Linked DNA regions of Alligator mississippiensis. The protein of the gene in region 1 purifies or fractionates together with the protein of each later gene. This does not show direct contact. Links are inferred from orthologs where the notes say so. Each region holds a gene or a part of one and is shown in the gene's direction. Other genes may lie near its edges.

Region 1 (9,334 bases):
TGGGGGGCTAATTTGTGGCATGCCTGCAAAAAAAAAAAAAAAATATTGTCCCCACTGCTTCAGAGGGTGGCTGTTCGCATCCACAAGTGGCTAACCTGTGTCCTCAAACACAGGAATAGTCCCTAAAGTTAACTCTAAAGCACAGACATAGCCTGACATATGGTAGGTCAATACTTCTCAGCCTTTTCAGACTGGTGAGGCTAAGACTTTTCATGACCCCCTTACATTTATTAGAAAATGTCTGTGATCATAAAGCTAAACCTAAATAAACATGTATTTTGAGAAGATCACAGAGACTTGACCTTGAGCATAATAGTACACAGGGAGAGAGATTTCTTCTGCACTGGGTTGTAATATAATTTTTTATGTCTCAGATACCCCCTGGTGGTCACTACCTACATTTTAGTAGTGTCCTAGACTGAGCTGTACAAAGATGAAATGTTTGTAGTCTAGAAGCAATACATGGCTGTGGACAGCTATAACTTTCAAGCATTTTAAAATGGGAGGGGGAGGCTATGTTCTGAGGCACGCATGAAACCACGAAAAATGGCACTATTTACAATCGCCAGGAAATATTGCATTGGCTGGAATTTCCCACAAAATCAACCTAAAAAAAACAACAACCCAGCATATTATTCATATAATACACTGTTTTAGAACGTCCTACTGTTTACCACAACACAAAGACAATGCGACAATCACTGCAGCCATAGATCACATGATTTAGAGTTTGTCTGAGAAGTGACTCGGAATAAGTGAAGGCGCCAGTCAGTAAAATGAAAATGTTTCAGTGCCATCTTTTAAGAAGTGAAATGCAATGCCAATACCCTTCACCAATCAGTGGCAAGGGCCAGGGATGCCAGGAAATGCTTCCGAAATCGGCTCTTCATGCTGCAACCAAGCCATACAAATTATTTTGTGTAGTCTTGCGTCAAGTAGATCCCTAGTCATAATGGTATGGAATGAAAGAGGTATAAATTGTTACAATATAACCATTATATATGCATATTCCTACAAGGGATACAAGTGTAGCAAAGCCATTGTAACTTTAACCCTGCTTCTTTCTTTCAGGGCTAAAATTATAGCCAGTAGGAGCATACAAACATAAATTACATCATAACAGCTGATGCCAAGTGAATGTTATTTCTGTCTGTTAAACCCTAAATGAAATATGGGTAAATTTACAATTGTTTTATTCCATTAATTCCACTATAGGAGCATGCGAACATAATAGTTAAATTGGATTAATTTATACAAGTATACCTGTTACATCTGTCCATGCCCTTTTGGAGTCATGCTTGACTACTGAAAAAAAAGTGTCTAGCGCAGACCCTTTTCATATCTTTCCTACAGCTGTAGAGCTCACCGAGGAATTGCCTGCCCCTAACAATATGTTTGTCCAGCACTGAGCACAACAGAGTTCTGATCACAGTTGGGAACCTGACCATATTTGTTTTTGAAAGGCAGAATGAAGAAAAAAAGATTTTTCCAGAGTTATGGTTGCATTAAGTAGGGACATACCCTAATCTTCAGCTAACTCAACCTTCCTGTCCTGCTTAAATAAAACTGAAATCCAAGCTGCTGCTGAAGACTGGTCTCTATGGGCAGGCCTAGGATTTTGAAAATAGCTAAAGAATCTCCATGGCTGTGAAACAGGAGAAAAGACCACGAGCAGCTAATGGACAGCAAAACTACCCCAAGAAAGGTTAGTTTTGATTAGTGGGACATCAAGACCACCAAAAAGGAAAGGCTGAAGTGCTCAATGACTTCTTCGCCTCAGTCTTCACAGGCAAGGTCAGCTCCCAGACTACTGCACCAGGCAGCACATTTGGGGAGGCAAGTAGCCAGCAGAGGCAAAAGAACAGGTTAGGGACTATTTAGAAAAGCTGGACATATAAAAGTCTATGAGGCCAGATGGGATGCACCTGAGGGTGCTGAAAGAGTTTACCTGATGAGATTGCAGAGCCATTGGCCATAATCTTTGAAAACTCATGGTGATCAGGAGAGGTCCTGGATGACTGGCAAAGGGCAAACATAGTGCCCATGTTTGAGAAAAGGGAAAAAGGAAGATCCAGGGAACTACAAACCAGTCAGCCATGTCATCTCAGTCCCTGGACATATCATGGAGCAGGTTCTCAAGGAATCCATTTCTATGCACTTGGAGGAGAAGGAAGAGTGATTAGGAAGAATCAGCATGGATTCACCAAGGGCAAGTCATGCCTGACCAACCTGATAGCCTTCTATGATGAGGTGACTGGCTTTGCGGGTGTGGGGGACCAGTGGATGTGACACACCTTGATTTTAACAAGGCTTTTGATATGGTCTCCCACAGCATTCTCACAGGCAAGCAAAGGGAGTACGGGCTGGATGAATGGACTGTAAGCTGGATACAAAACTGGTTGGAGCATCAGGCTCAGAGAGTAGTAATCAATGGCTCAATGTCTGGTTGGCAGCCAGTATCAAATAGAATGCCCCAAGGTTTGGTCCTGGGGCCAGTTTTGTTCAATGTCTTTATCAGTGACCTGGAAGATGGCATAAAGTGCACCCTCAGCAAGTATGCAGGTGACAGAAAGCTGTGGAGGTAGCAGATACTCTGGAGGGTAGGGCTAGGATTCAGGGGGACCTAGACAAACTGGAGGATTGAGCCAAAAGAAATCTCATGAGGCTCAACAAGGGCAAGTGCACAGTCCTGCACTTAGGATGGAACAATTCCATGCACCAGTACAGGCTGGGGGCCAACTGGCTGGGCAGCAGCTCTGCCGAAAAGGACCTGGGGGTTACAGTGGATAATAAGCTGAATATCAGCCAGCAGTGCCTTTGCTGCAAAGAAGGCTAATGGCATTCTGGGCTGCATTGGTAGGAGCATTGCCAGCAGGTCATGGAAAGTGACTATTCCCCTCTATTCAGCACTAGTGAGGCCACATCTGGAGGACTGTGTTCAGTTTTGGGCCCCCCATTGGAAAGGATGTAGGCAAATTGGAGAAGGTCCAGCACAGGGCAACAAAAATGGAGAGGGGGCTGGGGAACATGACTTATAAGGAAAGACAAAAACCCTTGGATGGGATGATCTAATTGGGGATGGTCCTGCCTTTAGCAGGGGGTGGGACTAGATGACCTCCTGAGGCCCCTTTCAACCCTAATTTTCTATTATCTTAATGCCTCTGGAATAAAGAACACTGAGCCATTAAGACAACTGACTCCCTCAGCTGACTGAATACTAGTGCCACAGCTGCTGTACTAGCCCTATTTGAATCATATAGGGAACCTGGGCAGAAGCCCACAAATTAACTACTAGTCCCCCACCTATTATTAGAGGGGGTCACTAGGTGTGCAATCAACAGCTTCTAAGGGGCAACAGAGATGGAGGGGGGGGGGGTTAAAGTGTGATCACAGGAGCACCAAGGGGGACACTGAGTAGAGCACCCCAGCCAGCATCCACTGGCCCTCAAGCAAGTCCAAAGAACATGTGGACACTACGCAGTGAAACTGCGTGGAGACACTAATGGATGCAGGATAGCTGACACATTAGGCCTTTTTGCTACATCAAGGAGTTTGTGGGCCAAAACTCACCAAGAAATTATAAGCCCTCTTACACAGGGAGGCCACTAAAAATGTAGCAACTGATTTCTTGGGACAAATCATAAGAAAACAAGAAGGGAGTGAAGGTCACAGGTTAATAACAAGGGAGCTAGAAAGGGAGATTGGGCAGAATACACTGGCCAGTGCCCACTGACCCTTGAGAGTCCGAGGAACCAGTGGCCACTGGCCAGTGGAACTGCTGGGAGACATGAACAGATGAGGGACAGCTGCTGCACCAGGCCTTTTCAACATGCATAGGGGAATATGGGCCAATGCCCACTAAGTAAGTCCATAAGCTCCTTTCAGTAAGGGTGGGGGCACTAAGCGAACATCAACTAATTGCTGGGGACAACTAAGAATGAAAACAGAGACAGGAGTGAAGGTCAAAGGTTTATAACAAGTGCTCCAAAGAGGGACACTGAGCATTGCTCACTGGCTCCCAAATGAGTCCAAGGAGCCAGTGGACTCCGCCCAGTGAAACCGCCCAGAGACAGGCCTATTGGTTACTTTCAAGGGATCATGGGCCATTGCCTACCAAGAAGAAAGGGAGGCCACTGAGAAAATAACTAATTTCTTGGGATAAAAGGAAAGCAAAACAGGGATAAGTGAAGGTCAAAGGTTTAAAATGGGTGCATCAAGGGTGGGACACCAAGCAGAGCACGTGGGCCAGTGCCCACTGGCCCTAGAGTAAGTCCAAGAAGTCAGTGGACATAGACTTCATAGACATTTGGGCTGGAAGGGACCCCAAAGGATCATTAAGTCCAGCCCCCTGCAGTCCCTGGTGGTCACCCCCAGCCAGAGCCTCCGTCCAGGTCAGGTGTATGGCCAGCTTGGCTACAGCCAGGACTCCCTGGACACAGGCCTATTTGTCACCTTAAGGAGCACGGGTCTAGGCCCACCAAGTAACTTACTGACCTCCCGCAGGCAGGGAGGCTACAGGAAAGGTGACAATTGACAATTGAATACGTGGGACAAATAGTAATAAAAAGAGGAACAGGAGTGGAGGTCAAAGCTTCATAACAAGAGTGCTAAGAGGGGGCACCGAGCAGTGCACACCAGGCAGCTCCCACTGACCCTCAAGCAAGTCCAAGGAGCCAACGGACACTGCCCAGTGCTCCTCTGCTAGGACACAGGAACAATGCGGGGCAAGAAAAGTAGCCCTGCAGTCCCCAGGGACCCTCCCGCTGCCCAGACACAAGAATCAAAGCAAAGTGCTTCTACCACAGCCAGAAAACCAGCTCCGTCCTTAATACACCTCCCCCCCTCCATGTGGGGTATGGAGAGGGGTGATTTTGAAGGTGGGGGGCGGTAAGCATACACTGTAGGTGAGAAAATATGGCAGCACAAGGGGGAGGTGGAGGCATCTCCTCAGGACCTCGGCTGTGCAGTGGGCAGCCCCTTGACTTGGCAAAGGCCAGGAGGAGCCAGCAGGAGGGTGAAGCAGTGGAAAAGCGGACCCCCACAGGCACATGCATCGCCTGCCTGCGCAAATGCAACCCCCCCACAGGGGCAGGAGCGGGGCACCCTCCGGCAGGGGCAGGGGCAAGGCAGGACTCCCCCGAGACGCAGCTTGTTGCAAGTCCCGCGCCCAAATCCCGCTCCAGCACTTACAGGCCACGAGGATCCACAGCAGCACCCCCTCCCTAACACGCATGCGCGCAGAACCCACAACCCCCCCTTACCAAGCGCATGCGCAGCCGGCTCCTCCCGACGCCCAGCCCCCTTCCTCCTCCCTCCTCCCCTGCGCCAGGCGCGGCCCCGCCCCCCGCTCGCGCCGCCAGCCCGGGCCGCGGAGCTCCGGCTGCTCGCAGCGCTGGGCGCGGGGCGTCTGTACCGCCCCACGGCACGGCTCGGCTCGGCTTGGCACGGCAGGCGTGGTAAGCGGGCCCGGCTCCGCAGCACGATTCTTGTCGGGGGGGGGGACCCTTTGCACACCCGGGCGGGGTGCGGCGCGGGCATGTCCCCGGGCTGCCTCCGCGCACTAAGGGCGGTCGCCACTGCAGCCGCCCGCTCGCTCCTCTCCCCTGCCGCAGGATCGGTGCGGAGCCGCCGCCGCGTGCTGTGCTCGGGGTGGGGGGCGGGTGATGCCGCTCCCTCTCTCCCAGCGGAGGTCGTCGCCCTTGCCCTGGGCCGGTGCAAGGGGGCTGGCTGGCACTGCCTGTAGTGCCCGGCCCCATCCCTGCTGTGTGCCCCTGCCTCGCTGCGGAGGGAATCGGGTTAGTTGTTCGTGTTGCGAAACGGACCGACCCACGCCTACACGTAGGCACACACGTATACATACATACATACATGCACACCTACGTGCACATAGATACAAGCATTCACATCCACACACACACATACATGTATATGTATATGCCTGTGCATGTGCACACATGTGTGCGCACATGTATATATGCCTGGCATGCATACATACATACATATGCACACTCACACATATATATGCCTGGTGCATACCTGCACACACGCATACCTGCATACATGCACGTATAGATGTATGTACTGCCTGGTGCTCGTGCACACACACACACACACATAGTATGCGAAAAATGTTGAATATTTACTGAGCCATAAAACATTAAAGATTTCTGTGCCATTTTACATCCCTTTTCGCTGTGCTGGAATTGGGAATGGCTTAATAAATATATGTCTCTTAAAAATGCCCTTTTGCAGGATGTTGGGTGTATGTCAGGGGGCTAATGGCATTTTAAAAAGGAAGAGGGAGGGCTGTGGATGGGGAGGGGTAGCTGATGGATGGAGAAACGGAGGGGCGTGAATGGAGCATCCCAGAGTGGGTCTGTGGGAGCTGTGGTAGGATTGGTTGGCCGTCGCTATGCTGAATGTGTTGGTTCTGAATTCAGTGCTTGCTTGAGAGGCTGGGACTCGAAAGGGGTATCGGGGCATTGGCTTATTAGCGTCATGCATTTCGCACAGGAATATTACGCAGCCTACATTTTTTAAAGGTGGGGAGCATTAGAAACAAAATGCCATCTTTTCTGTTTTGCGGGAGTCCTGATGGTCGAGCATGCTGGACTCATGATTGCTTTAGCTCTGCTTAAATAACAGATGGGGTCACTGCCTCAGGGAACTTAGCCTTTAGAGCTGTCATTCTACAGTTGGCAGGCATAGGGGGGCAGACCCTTGGGTTAGTAAGGAGCCCCGAGGGTTTGTGGTGCCGGGAGTGGCGTGTGGATGCCTACAAGCCATGGAACACCAAGCTGTGTTGCAGCTGCAAAGCAATGCAAAAAACTGTTTTCCTGATGAAAAGCTGGTGCCTAAATGTGCATCAAAGGACCCCATCCCTATGATAAATTGCATGAGTGGTGGTGCATAGCATCTTACCTTTTATATAAATCATGATTTAAGTAGGTGTCATGCAGAGGTACTGAGAATGCTGAAGCGGTCTTATCTGCAGGGCAAATACTATAAAATTTATTTCTATATAACAGAATTCATCCAAGTTTCCCTGTACCCTGCCTTCTCCCCATTCCCCCCCCCCCCCCCCAGTGAAATCAAAAGGAGGCTTGTCAGCTCATTTGTTGGTTATAAATAATAGTTGACATTTCCCTTTGGGAAGACAGGGTGCCAGTTTCCTGTGCTAATAGGCTTGGTATTGCCTGACGCCCTTCTCCTGGTGGCAGACAAAAGACAGGTTGATGCTGTAGGTCTGTCTCGCCTCTTTTAGATAGAACCATAGTACTGTCCTCTGTATAAGGCTGCCCGTGGGATGTCCAATTGACACAGACTGACTGGTAGAGCTGCAGGGATCACTGCACTGCTTTCCTCAAAGATGATGCTGGCTGATCCTTTCACTTTGAAATGAAATATGAGGTATTGACCTATAAACCTGTGGTGTGCAACCAGCCTTTCTCTCCTGCTGTATCATTGTGGTGGTCAAGAGTAGCCAAAGAGAAGCAAGAATTGTGGGACTTGCAGGAGGACAGGAGAGACTGGCAGATGCCTAGGGCTTATGGGGAGCATAATAATGCTTGGCACTTCTGGCACCTTTCACCCAGGAGCCATGGAGCACTTGACAAAGATGGGAAACTGAGACACAGAGGGTAAAGGACTTGCCCACAGCCATACAACAAAGTAACGACAGAACCAGAGCTGAGGCCCTCAGTAGCTGTTTTTAAATTCTCTGCTCTAATCCTAATCTTCCCCCACACAGCGCAACCTTATCAGTGTGTGTAGCATTGGGCGTAAGTCACCTGCTACAAGTATTACATAACCCGATATCCATTGGATGTTAGAGAACTCGCAACCAAATTGAGGGCAGGGAGTGGCATGGAGTGTGGTGTAGTCCTGTGAAGGGTGGCTGGGCAAAAAAGCCATGCCTGAAACCAGCCACAAAGCCTGAAGCCCAGAGTTGATCTGAGGGAAATCCTGGTGTAGATATATGTGCTGTACTAGGAGCCTCCCCATCCCAAATCCATCTGTTGTCTTTTGTTCTGGCTTTTGAAGTAGTCCATTTCATCATAGTCTTTGTGACATCTGAGGCCCCATGGTCACAAACTAAGTGATGCAACCTAGTACTGGCATGGTGGTCCCCATGAGGACAGTGTCTCAGACTTCTGCAGGTACCATGCCCCTGCCCTGGACAAGGCCTTGGAAAATACCATTGCAAGGATACATTCCTCCTCAGATGGGCACAGTGGTTGAACCATATGAGCTCTAATAGCTTTTTATCCTTCTCTAATGTTTCTGATTCTGTGCAGAGCCAATCATTCAGCTGATAAGTAACTCCAGGAGGACTCTGCATGCACCAGAAATAGCAAAGCATTAAGGACATTACCTTTAATGACTGCAATTAACTTGCATCTTACCTAGGAAAAGCCTTTTCCCCTGAATCTTTCAGTCTTCAGCATATTCTCTGTAGCAGGATGTGGGGGGTTGGGGAAGATGTCTGGTTAGCACAGGTGGGAGTTACATGCAGAAGAGAAGATTGAGGGGCTTAGGAAAAGACCCCAGCAGGCCAAGGGAGCGGGTTCTGTTGCACAAAGTTCCGTCTCTCCATTACTTCCTATGCTAAGTGATTTTGAAAGAAGCTGACTACAGGACTTTTTGAGTGTGTTGGTTTTGTCATCAAGAGATCTGTCAGGGGGCTTTGCATGTTGATATCTTCTTCCCTTTTGACCAGCACACAGTTCTGTCCTCCGCAAATGTTCCCAAAAAAATGAGTCAGATCAAAATAAAAATCATGCAACTGGCTTAAAAATAACCAGCACTAGGTTTTTTTCTCTCTGCCTTCACAGCCTTTGCTGTAACTTCAGCTCATTTTTTTGAGCTTCCCTCAGCTGTTGTAGACTTGTCTATATCACCTAGGTGCACCACTCACTCACTCCCACTTGCACTTGCTAAGTCCTGAAAGTAGGCAGTGTAGCCGTCTTAGACTGGCAGTGCCAATAAGCAACCTAGAGATGGTGAGCCTCAGAGCAGTGCAAGGCCTGTAGTCGGGCCGCTCAGGGAGGCTCCCCTGCCTTATTCCCGGGCTTTGGCACATGTGGAGTGGACGCAGATGGGCAATTTGGACAGGGATCCTGCACACTGCGCAGAAATGAGGTAGACAAGGCCTGAGAGACTGGACGCTAACTCAAGATATAAGTGGAAAGGCTGCATTTCGTATCCAATACCCTGCTTCTAGGAGCAAGGGCATTAAGAGGAGTGGCAGACAACATGAGGCTTCTGACAAAGTCAGAACAGTGCCGATGACATGATTTGTCAAGTTCCAAATAGGCTTGTGCTGAGCCAACGG
Region 2 (9,421 bases), on another chromosome or scaffold:
CTATATATAAACGTAGAAACTATATTTATATATAGTAGAATATATTATGAAAGATGGACATTTGCATATTGCCAGCCTAGACCACAGAAGCAAACGTAGTTCTTATTAGCTCAAATTGAACTGCTCTGCAGAACTTCAGTGAAACTTTACACTACAATGCTGAACAAGGAGGAAAATCTCTTTTAGCAAAACATACACGTATCAGAATGATGGAATAGTCAAACCCCTGCTTGACTTAGGGTGAGGTAATGATTTATAACACAGGTAATAAATCCAAATTTTACTTTGTCTTCATAATCCTGATCTGATTGCAGTTCTGGAAGAAACCAGAAAAAATGCCTCCTGGAGTGCCCTGCAATATAATCATCAAAGATAAAACCTTCAGCTTCAATGACATGCAAATGCAAACATGTTTTTAAAAGGATTAACAAAGTTGTTCAAAGAGTCTCTTCAGAGTCAATCCACCCAACTCTGCTTCCAAACAAACAATAAACTATCCACATGCAAGCAGATTTTCCTACCCATCAACACCACCAAAAGGAAAAAAGATCAGAACTTTAATGAGTTTAATCTCCTTTGAGTTTGGGCTGATCAGTGTCACCAATAATATCAACAGGGTCTAAAATAACTACTTTCCATCTTCAAAGGGCCTTCCAAACATCAAACAATTAGTCCCTACAACACTCCTCCGAGGCAGGTAAGTAAGTACTCTTACCCACATTTTACAGTTGAGTGAACACAGCAGAGAGGTTAAGTGATTTGCTTTAGGCTACAGATGGAGATGGGATTAGAGCACAAATAATATGAGTATTATTAGATTATGATTAAATAATAAGAGTATTATTATTAGGCTCATCTTTTCTGGGCAGACCATTAAGATCTTAACCCAGTGGAGGTCCAGGCAAGGAATACTTGAAGGAAACCTAAATTAATTACCATCATGCACACACCGGGCCAATTTCAGTCCTCTCAAAGGCAGGAAGCAACTAGGTGTACTCCCTTACGCCATAAATGTCATATTCTGTTGTCTTTTAAGGATGCTAAAGCTTTTACTTTAATTTGCTCCATAAGAAACAATTGAACAACACGCCTTTGCACAGTGTCATTATTATGGCACATGATACGACCCCAACTGAAACAAATGTTTTGCCTTCTCTGCATTTCCTGTTGTTTTGTTTGTTAAGCTCCCAAACAAGTAACTATAGGAAGAATTATGGGGGGCACATCTACACATGGTATTCATCCACAGTAGTTACTGCATATTAAAAAGGAGAAGTAAATTGCCCTCAGAGAAAGGGTCTAAACATGCACTGACTTGGGAGAAAATTTGCTCCTAACTGGAGCAGGTGAGATCAGGGATGTTCCTGCCCCGCTGCCCTGCTCTGCCCCCATTACAATAGCCAGCCTGTTCCTTAACACCAGATCCCTCTCCTTTGTATAAGAAACTATCCTTTCTTCCCCAAACTTCTTCCCAAACATAAACAATAATTCTGGGCAGATTTCCTGCCTTTTTTTTTAATCCAGTATGTATTTTTTCTACCTCAAAGGCTATTTTATAAAACCCTAAAATATACTGGGTTTGTATATGCTTATGTGAGTAGTTAAAAATGCATCTATAATAAATGGCATAGTAATTTAGGCAGATTAATAGTGTATGTATATGTATGGATATATACTGAAGAGAGAGGTAGTTAGCCGTGTTAGTCTCAAGTCAGGCAGAAGCAAGGGTAGATTTGCACAGTAGAGACTAACTGAATCATAGATGTATAGCATGAGTCTTTGAATTAATTAGCAAATGACAAAGTAAAGCTGGGTCTCATGGAGGCTTATGCTATACATCTCTGCTTTAGTTAGTCTATAAAGTGCAATTCTACCCTGCCTTCTGCCTATATATTAAGAAACATATGTGAAGACAGCAGTGTAGCACCTTACAAACTGAGGAGCAGTTAATTCACATAGCATGATACAGACTATTACTATTTGTGTGCATTGTGGTGGTATCTACACAGCATAAATCAGGGATTAGCACCCACGTGTACTAGGTGCCCTACCCACAGAACTGTGTAATCAGCATTTCATTAGCTGAAACTTTGCTTCCCTAAGATCACATTCAACTCCTTAAATGAGGTAACCCACACAATAATTAAATATAAATTATTTTTCTACTCTGGCTCTCTGGAAACATGCTTTATAACTAGTTTTTCAACTAAATATATCAGGAACAATTTTACTCTTCATTGACAGACATAGATATTTCTTTTTAGCAGACAAAATCCATGTTAATGATTCACAACCTGAGGACCTTGGTTGCTTGCACTATAGTTTAAGAATATGTAGGATTTCACTTCCCAAATTGCATGTTTTTATGAAACAAATGCACACTGTGTTGGGAGGGACCTGATTTCCACAGTAATTTTCTCATCAGAAAAACATTTAGTGCAATACATTAGCTTGTAAATTGCTATTTGCTTGCACTGTCTCTTGAAGATTTGTAGCTCACTCATTGAATTACATGCTTCTTTTATCACTTTGGAAATCATTAACCCTCACACTGCAGTCCCCCTTACAACAAAAGAAGTTTTCACATGCATTTTTGGTAGGGCAAAGAAAAGCAACTATAGATACAACACATCTAGATCAGTGGTTCTCAGCCCTTTTAGACTAGAGGTACCCCTCAATAGATGCAAGGCACCATTCAAAAAAATGCCAACTCCTGGTTTTCGCTGTTTTTTTTAAGAAAATAATAGAGCAATTCTTCTGTTGCAATGAACTCAGAAAGACCACAACAGGTTAGAATGTCTTCAACATTATGGATTCCTATTTGAAATGTCTATGGGTTTATCGTGCGAGTTGTTTGCCCACCTAACAGTGCTAATACTGCATGGCACCCTGTGACACCCTAGAAAGGGTATCAAGGTACGCAGCATGTCACAGCACCCTGGTTGAGAATCACTGATCTAGATTTATGCTGGATTCAGGGAGTCTGTACTCCAGTGCTATCCCATTTGGCCAATCTTCAAATATCCTACTTCAGTAGTGCTCAACCTTTTTTCCCCAGCTGGCTGGATGGGCTGGATTGCGCAGCTCTCAATCTGGCACCGGGCCCAGCATGGTGGGCACCATCCAGCAATGCAGAGGGGGATGCGGAGCAACCCAACTGCAACCCAGCCCTGCAGAGAAAGAGGACATGGCTTGGCCCCATAGGGATAAAGCGGGTGTGGCTTGCCCCCATGGAGGGAGTCATGGCCCCAATCTGGCCCTAAGGGGAAAAAGAGGTCATGGCTTGGCCCCAGGACAGGGGCAAGGGGATGTATCCCAGCTCTGCAGGAAGGGAAGTGCACATAACCTGGCATCAACCTAGCCTGTGGCTGGGAGGGGGTGTGACTCAGCCCCTGGTCCAGATGCAGGGGAAAGGGTGAGGCCTGGCTGCAACCAGCCATGCAGAGCTTGGAGTTTGGGAATTTGGTGAAGAGAGGATGTCTGTATTAATGGACACTGCTTCCCTGCCACCAAATTTCCTGCCCCATTAGGGGCCCTGCATGCCAGATGCACTGGGTTTGCAGGCTGCATCTGACCTGTGGGCCAAAGAGTGGGCACCCCTGTCCTGCATAATCTGTGCATGCTATCAGAATTCAGAACCACAGTTCCAGGAGCTAAGACATCCCTCAACCCCAACCTTCGTATATATGTCCTAGTGCAATTTAATGTCATTCATTCAATTATTTCAAGAAACCACTTCCCACTTCTCACACTGACCCTAAACCTCCGTAGTAAACTGAAATAGTAATAGCAGAGTAAACTCACTTTAATCCAGCAAAGGGAACAATAGCAGAGGTAAAATGGGCTTCAGCTCAAGTTAGCAATACAAATACATCATAAACCCACTACCAACATGCTCTAGAGCAGTGGGGGTCAATCTTTTTGCATACCACAAACTAGCACCATAACCTCCCCAAAAGCCACTCCAATCTCCCTCCTTTGCCCAATGTGCTGCTCTGCTTTTCGCTCCATACTCTGTTCTCCCCACCCAGTCTCCTGGTCTACTTTCTGTTTCCCACCTGTACTCCCTGCCTGATCTCCGCCTTTACCTTCTGCTTCCTGCTCTACCTGCTGTTGTGCTGCCTGTCTCCTCCCACATCTGTTCCCTACCACACAAAGAAGCTGCCCATCTGCTGCCTACCACTTGTGCCGCAGGCTAGCCACCACTGCTTTAGAGTCTGTAATCCCACATCTGCATTGCTGTTGTTGTTCTTGCTATCTACATTCAATCTAGTACATATATGACAATCCACACATGCCTACACCCTCATTTTTCTGTGTAGACAAACCATACATCTCTAATACATCCAGTATGCCTTTCCTATTAACTAGTACACTGGCCCTCAAACTTCTGTACCTAGTCTTAAAATCTGTGATACCCCTAAGGTTTTTTTCAGCTTGTCTGCAAGTCTGTTGGTCATAGTTTCAGCCCCAGGAGAGGCAGCAAAACATACTGTAGATGTACCAGGTATGCAGCTGGAGTCCACACCTGACCTTCTCTGTCTTTCCCAGAACACATTCTCCATCAAAACACACCTGTTAACATCCTAACTTCTGGCAACTCAGAGCCAGATTTTCCATAGAGCTCCAGTACTGAGGCACCCAAATGAAATGGCAACTTTTTGGTGGCTTGTGCTGAACTTTTCATTCAATCTGGCCCACAGTCAATGCTTTCAACTTTGAACCAGGAGTAGGAGCTGCTCCAAAGGTGCCCGGCCAGTGGGAAGCCTTTGTATCAGTGGTGTAGAGGGTGCACAGGGGTGCATGTGCACCCCAAGAGTGCTGGTGCACCCCGACAGCCAGCGTACCCCGCTTAGGTGATAGGCGGGGGGGGGGGCAGTGTCCCCCTAAGCACGCTGGTGAGGGGGTGGGGGCTCCAGGAAAAGCGCCCCTGGCACTTGTTGTGATCAGCCATTGGGGGGACCCCCCCTAGTTGCCGACTGGATGCGGGGGGGCAAGTGCCCCTCCCAACTCAGGAGGCACCAGTCGCCCATGCTTTGTATTTAGAGGTTTTAATCACACAGCTGCACTGGCGATGGAAATGTGAACACCGATCACAGATGCTGCTTTTCTGTTTTCCCTTTCCTTTCCTTCCCTTGCCGTCTGCCTGCCTGCCTGCCCCTCTCAGCCCACGAGCTGCTCAGTCATCATCCCGCCCTGTGCCGCCGCAGAGTCCCGAGCGCAGGCCGGCTCCACGGCCGACAAGCACGGGACCTCGCGGAGGAGAGACCCCGGCGGAGAAGGGGCAGCGCGCTGCTCACTCATGTCCCCTCTCTCTCGCTCGGGGTGTCCGGGCCGCTCCCCAGCCAGCAGGTGCCCCCGGCCCCGCGCGGGCCGGCCCAACCCAGCCCAGCCCAGCCGGGCTCAATTCAATCGCGCGCCCTTCACTTTGCAATGGGCTGCCATCCCCGGGACGGGCACGGCCCCACCCAGCGCGGGGCGGCGGGGCAGGGCAGGGCCGGCCCCGCGGGGAGGAGCCAGGCGGGCCGGGTGCGGCGGAGACGATAAGAGCCGGGGCGGCGCGGGGCGTGCTCCGCAGGACGCTGGGGCGGCAGCATGGAGCTGGACGGGCTGGACGGGGTGAGCGCGGCGCTGGGCAAGGGGCCACGTGTGAGCGGGCGGGCGGGCGGGCGGGCGGGCTGCAGCCCCGGCGGGGAGGCGCGGGCAAGGCAGGGCAGGAGCCCGGCTCCCGGCGGGGAGGAGACGGCGCGGGTGCCAACGGGGCTCAGCCCGGCCCCGGCAGATGCTGCCCGGAGGTGAACCCCCACTCCCTCCCCCACAACATGCATGCAGGCGCTGCCCGGAGCAGGGGCGGCACGTGGCCGGAGCCCGGGGGCGAGGCGGGAGTTTCACGCCGGGAGTCCGGAGCGTTGGTGATTTCCCGCCGCGCTGCTTTCGCTACCCGTTTGCACGGGACGCTTCTGCCCGGCTCCCCCGGGCTCCTATGCTGCTAGGCAGGGATCCCCTCCTCCTCCTCCTGCCCGGGATTCCCCTCCTCCCTGCCGGGCTCCCAGCACTACAGATGCAGCCCGCAGCGGGCACAAGCGGGTTTGCTCCCCGTACTTCTGCACCTAATGAGCAAGCGAAACCACTGCCTGGACTGGCATCCTTGGGAAAGTGGTAGGAGATGGTCTAGGCGGACACATCTCAGTGGGGCAGGCAGGAGACTTGACTCTCGTTAGAACAGTGGCATGTAAGGGGTGAAAACGTAAAACAGATGCTGCTTTGGGGCGTGCCGGGAAGCTGCAAGCGGGGGTGATGTTTGGGAACCTCTGGATTTCATAGATTTCATAGAGGTCAGGGCTGGAAGGGACCTCGGAAGATCATCGAGTCCAGCCCCCTGCCCCAGGGGCAGGAAGTCAGTTAGGGTCAAAGGATAAAACTGGGACCTACTGGACTTGGGCGATCCAGTAGGTCTCTCCCGTTTCTCACGGGGGAGGGCCCACTGTCAGCACTGAACGGTAGAGCAGAGGTTCTCAGACTGTGGTCTGTGGCCGCTGGTCCGCAAGGTCCGTTCAGGTGGTCCGCACAAAGGTTGTGGGACGATTGAGAATATCTTTGCTTGTAAGGTATTAAAATAGGAGTTGTGTGCTTTGATTTGTAGAACAAAAAAAAGTTTTAAGTGGTCCGCCGAGACCCTCAGCAATTTTTTCTGTGAAAAAAAAAAAGTTTGAGAACCACTGCTCTATAGAATGACATGGTGGGGAAATGCAGTTATCCTTCATCACCATCACTGTTTCCCAGGCACTTAATTCATTCTTCTATCCCCCTAGGGGTCAAAGCTTTACTTGGCTTCTCTGTATTGTGAAGTGTCTTGGATGAGCTGGAGCTAACAGCTGTTCTTTTTTTACTTTTATTATTGCAGTGGTCTTCTGGGGTCTCCTTTGAATTCCCTGATAATGGCACCGATGAGGTTGGTTCAGGTGAACTTGACCTTAAAGAGCCATGCTATTGGCAAGAAAATGCTGATTTCAACCGGATCTTTTTGCCAACCATCTACTCCATCATCTTCCTGACGGGAATCATTGGCAATGGATTGGTTATCGTTGTCATGGGCTACCAGAAGAAAATGAGAAGCATGACCGACAAGTACAGGTTGCACCTGTCAGTGGCCGACCTCCTGTTTGTCATCACGTTGCCATTCTGGTCTGTGGATGCAGCCATAGGCTGGTACTTCGGGAAGTTCCTTTGCAAGGCCATACATGTCATTTACACAGTCAACCTCTACAGCAGTGTCCTGATTTTGGCCTTTATAAGCTTAGATCGTTACCTGGCTATAGTCCATGCTACCAATAGCCAAAGACCAAGAAAGCTGCTCGCTGAAAAAGTAGTATATATAGGTGTGTGGCTTCCAGCTCTGCTTTTGACAGTGCCTGATCTAATCTTTGCCAAAACTACTGAAGTAGGAGAAAAGTACCTTTGTGACCGCATATACCCTCATGACAACTGGCTGATTTCTTTCAGATTTCAACATATCTTGGTAGGACTTGTTCTGCCTGGTCTAATAATCCTGATTTGCTACTGTATTATCATTTCTAAGCTGTCACACTCAAAAGGTCACCAAAAGCGCAAAGCATTGAAGACTACTGTCATTCTCATCCTTGCTTTCTTTGCTTGCTGGCTCCCTTACTACATTGGCATCAGCATTGACACCTTCATCTTGCTAGGGGTCTTCAGACCACGGTGCAGTTTTGAGACAATGGTGACCAAATGGATCTCCATTACAGAAGCCCTAGCATTTTTCCACTGTTGCTTGAATCCAATTCTTTATGCCTTCCTGGGTGCCAAATTCAAAACATCAGCGCAGAATGCTTTGACATCAGTTAGCAGAGGATCGAGCCTAAAAATCCTTTCAAAAGGCAAACGTGCAGGACATTCTTCTGTTTCTACAGAATCAGAGTCTTCAAGTTTCCATTCCAGCTAACGCTGTCTCATTGCCAACATTTTACAATAAAGAACAATTTTTTTTTAAAGAAGATACACAAGATTTCTGAAAAAACAAGACTGACTATAATGTACAGATTTATATACAGCTGGAGTTTTATATTGTTTCTTTTAGCTTCTGTGAATTTAATTGACTTATTTATATAAACGCTTCCATAATTATGACAAAGTGTCTAGGCAGGACCTGTGGACAAGTGGTTAGTTCACAAAGTTTCAGTGCTTTTTCTGGTTGTATAGGTATGTGAACTAAACACTTCTAGGAGTGTAGCAAGTGACATGTTTAAAATGTATAAAAATGTTTGATTGTTTGTATGTACATATTTTTGAGTTTTGCTGTTTAAAAATTCCTAAACTTGTGATTGATGTTCCAGAATTTTTCCCTTTACTGTAAGTTGTTTGGTTTACAATAGTTTAATTCTGCTGTAGACAGTGGCACTTATAACCAAAGCCTTCTTTGTCATATGCTAGATATTTTTTTTCAGTTCTCAATATTGGTTTGGTTTGCACAACTCTGTTGTGTAAGGTTGTTAATAAAAACATATGATACAAACAGAATTTGAGTGATACTTTCATTTAACCTTTAATTCAATTTACTTTTTATCTTATTACTGTGCTACTTTGATTTCCAGTTACTTAATGCTGGGGTAACATGTCTTTGAAACAAACATAGTTTGCCTGATGTACCTAGAGGAAAATACAAGGTTTCACATGGATTGTTTGTCTGTCTCATCAATAGACAATCTCAGAAATAGGCACTTGCGCTGCCCATGGCATTTAATCTGTCTGGATTTATTTGTTATATCACTTGTTATTTCCATGAGAAGACAAGCCCACTGCAGTCGACGTTCTCTTCAACAGTTCAACCCCACTTCAGTTCAACTATTTTTGGCTACTAGAACCCAAGTTCTCTTTATGATAACTTTATGCACCAAAAAAATCTATTAAATACATGCCAGATTTTGCCAGCCTCTTAGGGATCTGAGGAGGATTACAGAAGCTCACTTCAGTCAAGAGAACACCTAAAACATTCAAACTGAACATGGTAAGTATTTTTGTAAAGAGTGCAAAAAATCAGATTACCAGTTTAGCTATACGGGAAGGAAATGTAATGCTGCATGTAATTATATACAGTCCACATTAAATACCCACTTTTTATATAACATTCGCCTTGAAAAAATGAAATGTTTATTAGTACAATTAGAATGTAATCTAATACAAACGCTACTGAACATTTGGGTTTTCTTGATTTAATTCCCATCTCTTTCTAAGTGTTCATCCCCTGTAAGTACAATATAGTTGCACTATCATACATAAACAACATGAGGTTGTCACTGGCATCTGTAGTGATAGATTAAGCCCACAGTATACATCATACACCAGAGAATACATGGAAATAGTCATCAGTCCAGGAAAGAATTTCAACACGTGCTTAACTCTG

The links.
Region 2: the proteins of TMEM63B (region 1) and CXCR4 purify together in Homo sapiens (co-immunoprecipitation; 3 studies listed by BioGRID and IntAct, with this or other methods). This does not show direct contact. The link is inferred for Alligator mississippiensis from reciprocal best matches to the Homo sapiens genes TMEM63B and CXCR4.

What each region holds. Positions count from the first base shown.
Region 1 is NC_081824.1:169,491,229-169,500,562, forward strand, and holds the start of TMEM63B (CSC1-like protein 2), read left to right. Parts: upstream 1-5,336; 5' UTR 5,337-5,456; intron 5,457-9,334. Other genes in the region: MRPL14 (large ribosomal subunit protein uL14m), read right to left, coding at 5,191-5,233. UniProt on the Homo sapiens protein: Mechanosensitive cation channel with low conductance and high activation threshold. Osmosensitive cation channel preferentially activated by hypotonic stress.
Region 2 is NC_081827.1:237,449,269-237,458,689, forward strand, and holds CXCR4 (C-X-C chemokine receptor type 4), read left to right. Parts: upstream 1-5,524; 5' UTR 5,525-5,595; coding exon 5,596-5,619; intron 5,620-6,904; coding exon 6,905-7,963; 3' UTR 7,964-8,538; downstream 8,539-9,421.